Saccharomyces cerevisiae S288C: one gene and its partner. The gene in region 1 interacts genetically with each later gene. Each region holds a gene or a part of one and is shown on either strand. Other genes may lie near its edges. The genes, in order: SBE22 and YVC1.

Region 1 (3,930 bases):
GATCCGGTTTTAATACCAAGCACAAAGGCCAGGTCATCTACAGTGACGGCTGGCACTCCTTCGTCATCTAGCTCAATACAATATAAATCACCTTCAAACGTGCCCAGGCGGTTGACAGTCAGTAACAATAGGCCAGAACATTGCCCAAGCACCATAACAAATCAAAAATTGGGGTCCGCAGTTGCTTCTAATTCCGGAATCAGCTCCACTCCGAACAACAGTAATAACTATAACAACAACACTGATAGTGAGAACTCAAGAGGAAGCAGCGGTAGTAACACTGCAAATAGCACACAAATGGGCATAACCAATCCAGGTAATGTAACAAAGTTATCTACTCATAAGGCTTCTTCACCCTCAAGGCCACTATTTGGAGTTGGAACTTCTCCCAATAGAAAGCCTGCCGGTTCCCCAACCCAAAACATTGGTCATAATTCTACTCACACGAACCTCGCGCCTCCTCCTACGATGAAACCAATGGCCAATAGCAAAGATAACAAGGACATTCTCTTGCAACCTCTGAACAGCATACCTAGTTCTTCTACACTTAACACTATTAGTGGTAATAGCAGCAATAATTTAACCTCATCAAACTACTTTTCCAACGAAAAGGAAGGCTCAAGGGTCAATGGTGACTTTAAACGCAACAACCCAAACTTAAAACTACAAATGCCACTACCTACACCTGTTGTGAGAAATAAACTTCTTGATCCAAATACAGCAACCTCACAGAATAACAATGGCATGCCGGGGAGCGCTGGCATATCCACGAACGAAAATATTAATCAATTTGGATTTAACACAAGCAGTGCGTCCAACATCCCTGTCTCAATGACTCCAATTAGTGAGAAACACATTGATTTTGGGGGCAAGATCAAGAGAAGTCAAAGCATTTCTAACAGGAAGAACTCTTCTGCCTCGGAACACCCATTGAATATTCTTGGCTCATCTGTTTCCGGCAATGTTTCCGGTATCGGTAACAACAATGTTGGCTCTAACAACAACAGCGGCCCTAATAACAGTGTTCCTCTTTCTGCTAATACAGGAAACACTACTATCAAAGCCAATTCTACGACTATCGCAACTTCAAGTTCTGCCGCGGCATCAACGACTGCACCAATTTCACAACAGACTATTCCATCCGGAACACAATTCAATCATATTCTGAGTTCCGCCGCAACAGCTGCAAACTCGGTTAATTCTTTAGGCTTTGGCATGTGTCCTCCTCCACAGAGTTTACAAATGGAAATGTTCTTGGACTTAGAATCGTTTCTGCCAGGAAAACAGAGGCGGGTAGACAGGAAACCCCAGGTTCTGAAAGAACTGGAAAATCTTTTACAAATGTTCGAAGAAGGTTTGCCCTGCATTGAACACGCTTTAAAGGAACAACTTATTTCAACGCCTATCAAGGATAATGAGCATTAAAAGCATCGTCTAGTTTATTCTTTTGTTTATGTACATATTCAAGAAAAATAAGCAAGATGTAAGAAAAGTGAAAGTATATATTTTCTACAGAACTTAACAAGTCCCTTTAAGCACCACATGGAACTCGACTGCGCAAGGTTAGCGCTTTACGGACTTTATTGCTATTCTAGTTCAAAGAAAGCAAATGGCGCAGTTACCAAACCTCGCCATTTGTTTTTTCCGTTATTTTTTCTTCTTATAAACGCGCCTAGAAGAAAAAACCGTGCGAAGCGCAAATCCTGAGAAAGCGCTAAGGAGGTTTCAACCAATGTTTACCACTTGAAATTTTAGCATTCTCATCACTGTAAGAGAGATAATTATCCTGTAAACATTCCAAAATACCTTTTGTAACGCTGATTGTTGTATTTGTTACCCCAGAATTGCCATATATAGTGGAGAAGAAATCGAAAAGGTCATATACAGCAGAACCAAAAAAAATAATACATTCGTTGATCCTTTACCGTTTTCAAGAGTGAAACGTGATCGTGTTTATACTTTTTCGACTCAAATTTGTCCTTATCTTTAGTTAATACGGTCTAACTTGCCACGCTACTCAAGAAATGACCTCGATTCAGGAGCGAGGCACAAGCGCTCATCTGCATTCGCTTAAAGAAGGTGAGGCTAGTGATCGTTCCAGCGAGATGCTTCCTAAACAAAGAAGTATCATAGGATCCCACGTGCAACGTCCACCGTCTCAAACAACTTTAGGAAGGTCAAGGGCTGGAAGCAATACAATGAATAAAGTTTCAGGCTTAGATATTGCTCGAAGACCAAGTGAGAATTTATTATCAAACATGAACTGTAGCGACAACGGCAATGGGGGAAATATGCTAAATTCATTCGTTAACTCGGCTTTACCACCGCCAAAAGTCAACCCTGCTCAAACAAGACGTGAACGTCCCGCTTCAAATAGCTCAATAGGTACCAAGACTACCGAGGTATTTTCATCCACTTCTGCATCTTCCTCCTTGGGAGATACCAGCGATGAGGGAGAAGGCAGTGATGCCGACAAATCTAAAATAAATACTTTTCCCAGCATATTGATGGAAAAGGCTACTCAAGGTAGAGGCGCTGATGGAAATGGAATGAGAAGCGCAAGCAATAATACCATTGTGGAAGCAACTACGGACGGTTCCAAAATGGCACTGCAAAAAAGCATGTCGTTTGATGATACAGCCGCAGAGAAAACTATGAATAAATCTAGACATTCTTACCAAGAACAGTTCTCCTCGAAGAAAAGCCAGTCATCTTTACTGAACAGCAAGCAAAGATCACGTGCTAAATCGCAAACATGCTCGTCTACGGGTTATAACAACAGCAGCATTCTGAAAACGTTTGGCATAAGCTCCAAAATTTCTAATTCAAGTGATCGGATAGAGGCTTCGTCATTAGAATTTAACGTTCCATCTCAGAAACCTTTGAATTGCAAGCCATTAACTCCGTCTCAGAAATACAGACTTCGTAAAGAGCAATCGGAGATGAATTTAAGAAATACAATCAAAAGAAAAGAGAAATTTTATGATAGTCAAGAACAAATTCTTGAGTTACAAGAGGGAGACGTTGATGATTCGTTGATTTGGAACGTTCCTATGGCATCATTATCTACTAATTCATTTCTAGCGTCTGCTAAGCCCGATGATATGAATAACTTGGCTGGCAAGAATGACTTATCAGAATATACCGGAGGTTTGGTAAATGATAACTCTGAAATTTCTTATACAAAACAAAATCATAGGTACTCGAACATCTCTTTTGCGAGTACAACATCAAACGCCTCATTATTGGACTTTAATGAGATGCCTACGTCTCCGATTCCAGGTTTGAACAAAGTAACTGATTTTCAGTTCATTCAAGACACAACCAAGAGTCTAGCCTCTGTTTATTTGCATTCTTCCAATAGGCTTTCAAGATCTAAGCTGTCCGAAAGAACAAAGTCTTCCGATTTCTTGCCAATTGAACTAAAAGAAGCTCAAAATCAAGGCATGGAAGATTTGATACTTGTCTCGGAGAACAAACTAGATGTGGTCAGCCATTCAAGACCGAGTTGGTTACCACCCAAGGATCGCCAGGAAAAAAAGCTTCATGAAAGGCAAATTAACAAAAGCATGAGTGTTGCTTCCCTTGACCAACTAGGAAAAAATAAAGACAGAGAAGAAAAGTTGATTAGAGATGAAACAAATAGGCAAAAATATGTGTTATTATTGGACAGAGATATAACTAGAAACTCCTCCTTACAAAGCCTAAGTAAAATGGTTTGGGACACTCCATTTAGTGACGAAACTAGGTCAACAATTTACAGCGAAATTTTACAGAGCAAGACTAGGTTTATTACCAAAAACTATATTCAACCATTTCATGAGCTACAGGAGCTTTTAACAAAAATGGGAGACTTTCCTAAAAACAAGGAAATTGAAATATCGCAGCTAATCGAAACAAGTTTGAGGCGAAAAGTGAGCGGTTTACATG
Region 2 (3,930 bases), on another chromosome or scaffold:
TTCTAATATACCAATGGACAAGTTGGAACCAGATAAGAGTTGTGGAATGTTCAATTGTAAAGAAAATGGAGGTAACAAGATTGGACCCATATATTTCTTGGCCATCTTTTGTATTAGTGTCATAAGGCCTGGGATAGCTAAAATTTCCCAATTGAAGATGGAACGGCCGAATAAGGTAGCAACAAAATCAAAATCAGGAACCTTCAGTAGCTGGATATTAACAGTTTCGACATGAGGGAAGGGAGTCATCAATTTGAATTTCACTCTAGCATGAGCCTTGAAAGCAATGTCTGACACAGAAACAGGGATGGTGATACCAAAAATTTTGGCCTTAACAACCGCTAATTCATTAACGTAATTTCTGACTTGCTTAGCACTCATGTCGCATAAATCGTGAGGAGTAAAAGAAATACCCCAGTCCATCACAACAACATCGGATGCAGTGTTTTGGAAAGTCTTCACCAAATCAACTCTGGGGGGTTTAACACCAAGTGTCAACTCATCGATCCATAGTTGAGTAATAAATTTGGGAATCGCCTCATTAGTAGCCATTTGTTCATTAGCTTGCTGAACGATTAATTGACTAACGGAAGGTTCTAAAATGGGCCAGTACTTATCCAAAAAGGCATTCAACCATTCTAGGGATTCATAGTCGTTTTCCACTTTCTGCACCGTGAACTCTTTCTGGACTAACTCTCTTATGGAACCTCTGTATTTTTTAGCAGAGGTTCTATACAACAATGAAGTGATAACGATGACAAAAAAGGCCGACCCCATTGAAAACTTATAATGACCAAGTGCAAATGATGCCACGCCTCCGATAAAGAAAATGGCTACCGAATGATACCAGTCACCGTAAAGGCTGTCCGGTATGATGTTATCTAAGAAGGTTTCTCTAGTCATATCCATCAATTCATCATCTAAAGTTAATTCGTCTTTGTCTTCCCAGCCACCAATCTGTTTCCAGCCGACATAAGAAGCTTCATGGATACTTCTCTTGAAGCTTTCATCACTAGCATGTGCCGCCTTCTCAGATGACACGCTTTTACTGGATTCGGTTTCCTCTTTCGTCTTTGGAGGTTCTAACTTATCTATCCCATTTATGTTAGCTACTTGGGCTGTTTCGGGCTTCTTTGGTGCTGTTACCCCAGTATCTTCTTTGGCCATATTGTATGTACCACGCAATTGAAGTTTTCAGAATGCACTAGCTATCTTTTTTTATCTTAGCTATTCTTCTTCAATTATCCTACTTATTCTTCAGCAAAAAAAAAATAATAAGCTAAGACAATGCTATACAAGTCAATTACCAGCCAGTAAGTCCAAATTGGAGTAGCCAATGCTATTAGTTGATAATTTTGACGGCCGATTATACTATTCCAATTGCAGCAACATCCCTGTCCCTTAGCTTTTTGAGGGGCCTTTTGTTATAATTTTTCATGCAGCATTCCGGTCGCCAAAGTTGTTATCACTTCTAACGTAAATCGTTTTCTCGTTATGTCCGCTATTTTAGAATGAGAATAATGGATAAAATTGGCCTAAAAAGGGAGCGAGTATAACGTTACTGAGATACAATTGTACATTTTGCCATGGAAATGAGCCAACTAGTCTAATGAGATTTTCAATGCTTTATTTCTTTTTTTAGTTTCTCATTTTATTGTTTCTCTAGTTATTAGTCCTTTGGTTATTTTTATGTCACCACCTCTTGTCACATGACCATTTTTGTTACTTGCTTGGTTTTACAATGATTTATACATTCTTGGGCCTCTCTTGACATATTTTTATCGTCATAATAAGTTCTTCATTCGTTCTCTAAAACAACAAAGTTAGACTCCATGGCCAAGTTGGTTAAGGCGTGCGACTGTTAATCGCAAGATCGTGAGTTCAACCCTCACTGGGGTCGTTAATTTTTTAATTTTTCTCCTACACTGTTGCTATGTCGGAGTTATCTCATAAGAGCTGAAAATATGTGGTAAATTTAGTCAGTATCCTTCGAGGATCAGCTAGAGCCTATTCAATGCAATTGTCATTAATCAGTGGCTTGGTAAGGCAATAGAATTCAGTTATAAAATATAATATTACTAGAACAGGAGCATTATGGTATCAGCCAACGGCGACTTGCACTTGCCAATTTCTAACGAACAGTGCATGCCGGAAAACAATGGATCTCTTGGATTTGAGGCCCCCACTCCGAGACAGATTCTCAGGGTTACGTTAAATTTGAAATACTTAATTGATAAGGTCGTACCTATTGTTTACGATCCCAATGATATTGTTTGTGACCATTCTGAGATTTTATCTCCAAAAGTTGTGAAGCTGGCTTATGAAGCATGTGGCGGGAACCCTAAAGACAAGGCCAACAAAAGAAAATATCAATCTGTCATTATTTTTTCACTTCTTAAAGTTTGTGAGTGGTATTCCATATTGGCCACTATGGAAGTGCACAATGCCAAACTTTACGAAACCAGAAATTTAGCCTCACAACAGTTATGTAAATTGTTAATTGAAAGGGAGGAGACAAGAGACCTGCAGTTTCTTTTCATGCAGTTACTGCTGCGTCGGTACGTAATCAACGAGAACGATGAAGATCAAGAACCGTTGAATGCCTTGGAACTTGCCACAGATATGCACTGTACTACAGTGATAGGATCGAGTGGATTTCAGCGTTGTTTAAAATGGATATGGAGAGGATGGATAGTCCAAAATGGCTTGGATCCCACAACTTTTATCAAGGACGATTCACTGGCGGAAGTGTCATTGATCTCTCATTTCAACCCCGTAAGATTAAAGGCGCCTGTATACCAAAATTATTTGCAGATGATCTTCTCATTTTTGTTTCTAGGGCTTTATACCTTGGTGGTTAATGGTAAGGACTCTGAGAGAGTCCAATCTTTCGATTTGTTAGAAAGCATATTTTATGTTTTCAATACTGGTTTCATCTTGGATGAGCTCACTAAGCTTTATTATATTGGTTATGCGCACCTATCGTTTTGGAATTTATTTAATGATACCACATATTTGATAATCACGTTTGCTATGGGGTTCCGTGCAATGAGCGTAACGCCCCTTAATGCAAAATACTCTTCAGAAGATTGGGATAAAATATCATATAGAGTCTTATCCTGTGCAGCACCATTTGTGTGGTCGAGACTCCTACTATACCTTGAATCACAAAGGTTTATTGGGATTATGTTGGTTATCCTAAAACATATGATGAAAGAATCCATTGTATTTTTCTTCCTTCTATTCTTAATAATGATAGGATTCACTCAAGGTTTCTTAGGTTTGGATTCCGCAGATGGTAAGAGAGATATCACCGGACCCATCCTGGGTAATTTAACAATCACCGTTTTGGGTCTTGGTAGTTTTGATGTTTTCGAAGAATTCGCTCCCCCATATGCGGCAATACTGTATTATGGTTACTATTTTATTGTTTCGGTTATCCTTTTGAATATATTAATTGCTTTGTATTCGACTGCGTACCAAAAAGTTATTGACAATGCAGATGACGAGTACATGGCTTTGATGTCACAAAAGACGTTGAGATACATTAGAGCACCTGATGAAGATGTCTATGTTTCTCCATTGAACTTAATTGAAGTGTTCATGACACCTATCTTTCGTATTCTTCCACCGAAGCGTGCTAAAGATTTGAGCTATACTGTAATGACAATAGTGTACAGCCCATTTTTGTTGCTTATTTCTGTTAAAGAAACTCGGGAGGCTAGAAGGATAAAATATAACAGGATGAAAAGGTTAAACGATGATGCCAATGAATATGATACTCCATGGGATTTGACAGATGGCTACTTGGATGATGATGACGGTTTGTTTTCTGATAACCGAAATTCTGGCATGAGAGCCACCCAGTTAAAGAATTCCCGTTCGCTAAAACTGCAAAGAACAGCAGAGCAGGAAGATGTCCATTTTAAA

What was found.
Region 2: mutations in SBE22 (region 1) and YVC1 together harm fitness more than expected from each alone (negative genetic interaction), as found in Saccharomyces cerevisiae (2 studies listed by BioGRID).

The regions. Positions count from the first base shown.
Region 1 is NC_001140.6:318,390-322,319, forward strand, and holds the start of SBE22 (Sbe22p), read left to right. Parts: upstream 1-2,024; coding exon 2,025-3,930. Other genes in the region: putative serine/threonine protein kinase KIC1, read left to right, coding at 1-1,425.
Region 2 is NC_001147.6:485,613-489,542, forward strand, and holds the start of YVC1 (Yvc1p), read left to right. Parts: upstream 1-2,094; coding exon 2,095-3,930. Other genes in the region: TCB1 (tricalbin), read right to left, coding at 1-1,167. UniProt on the Saccharomyces cerevisiae protein: Required for release of calcium ions from the vacuole in response to hyperosmotic shock.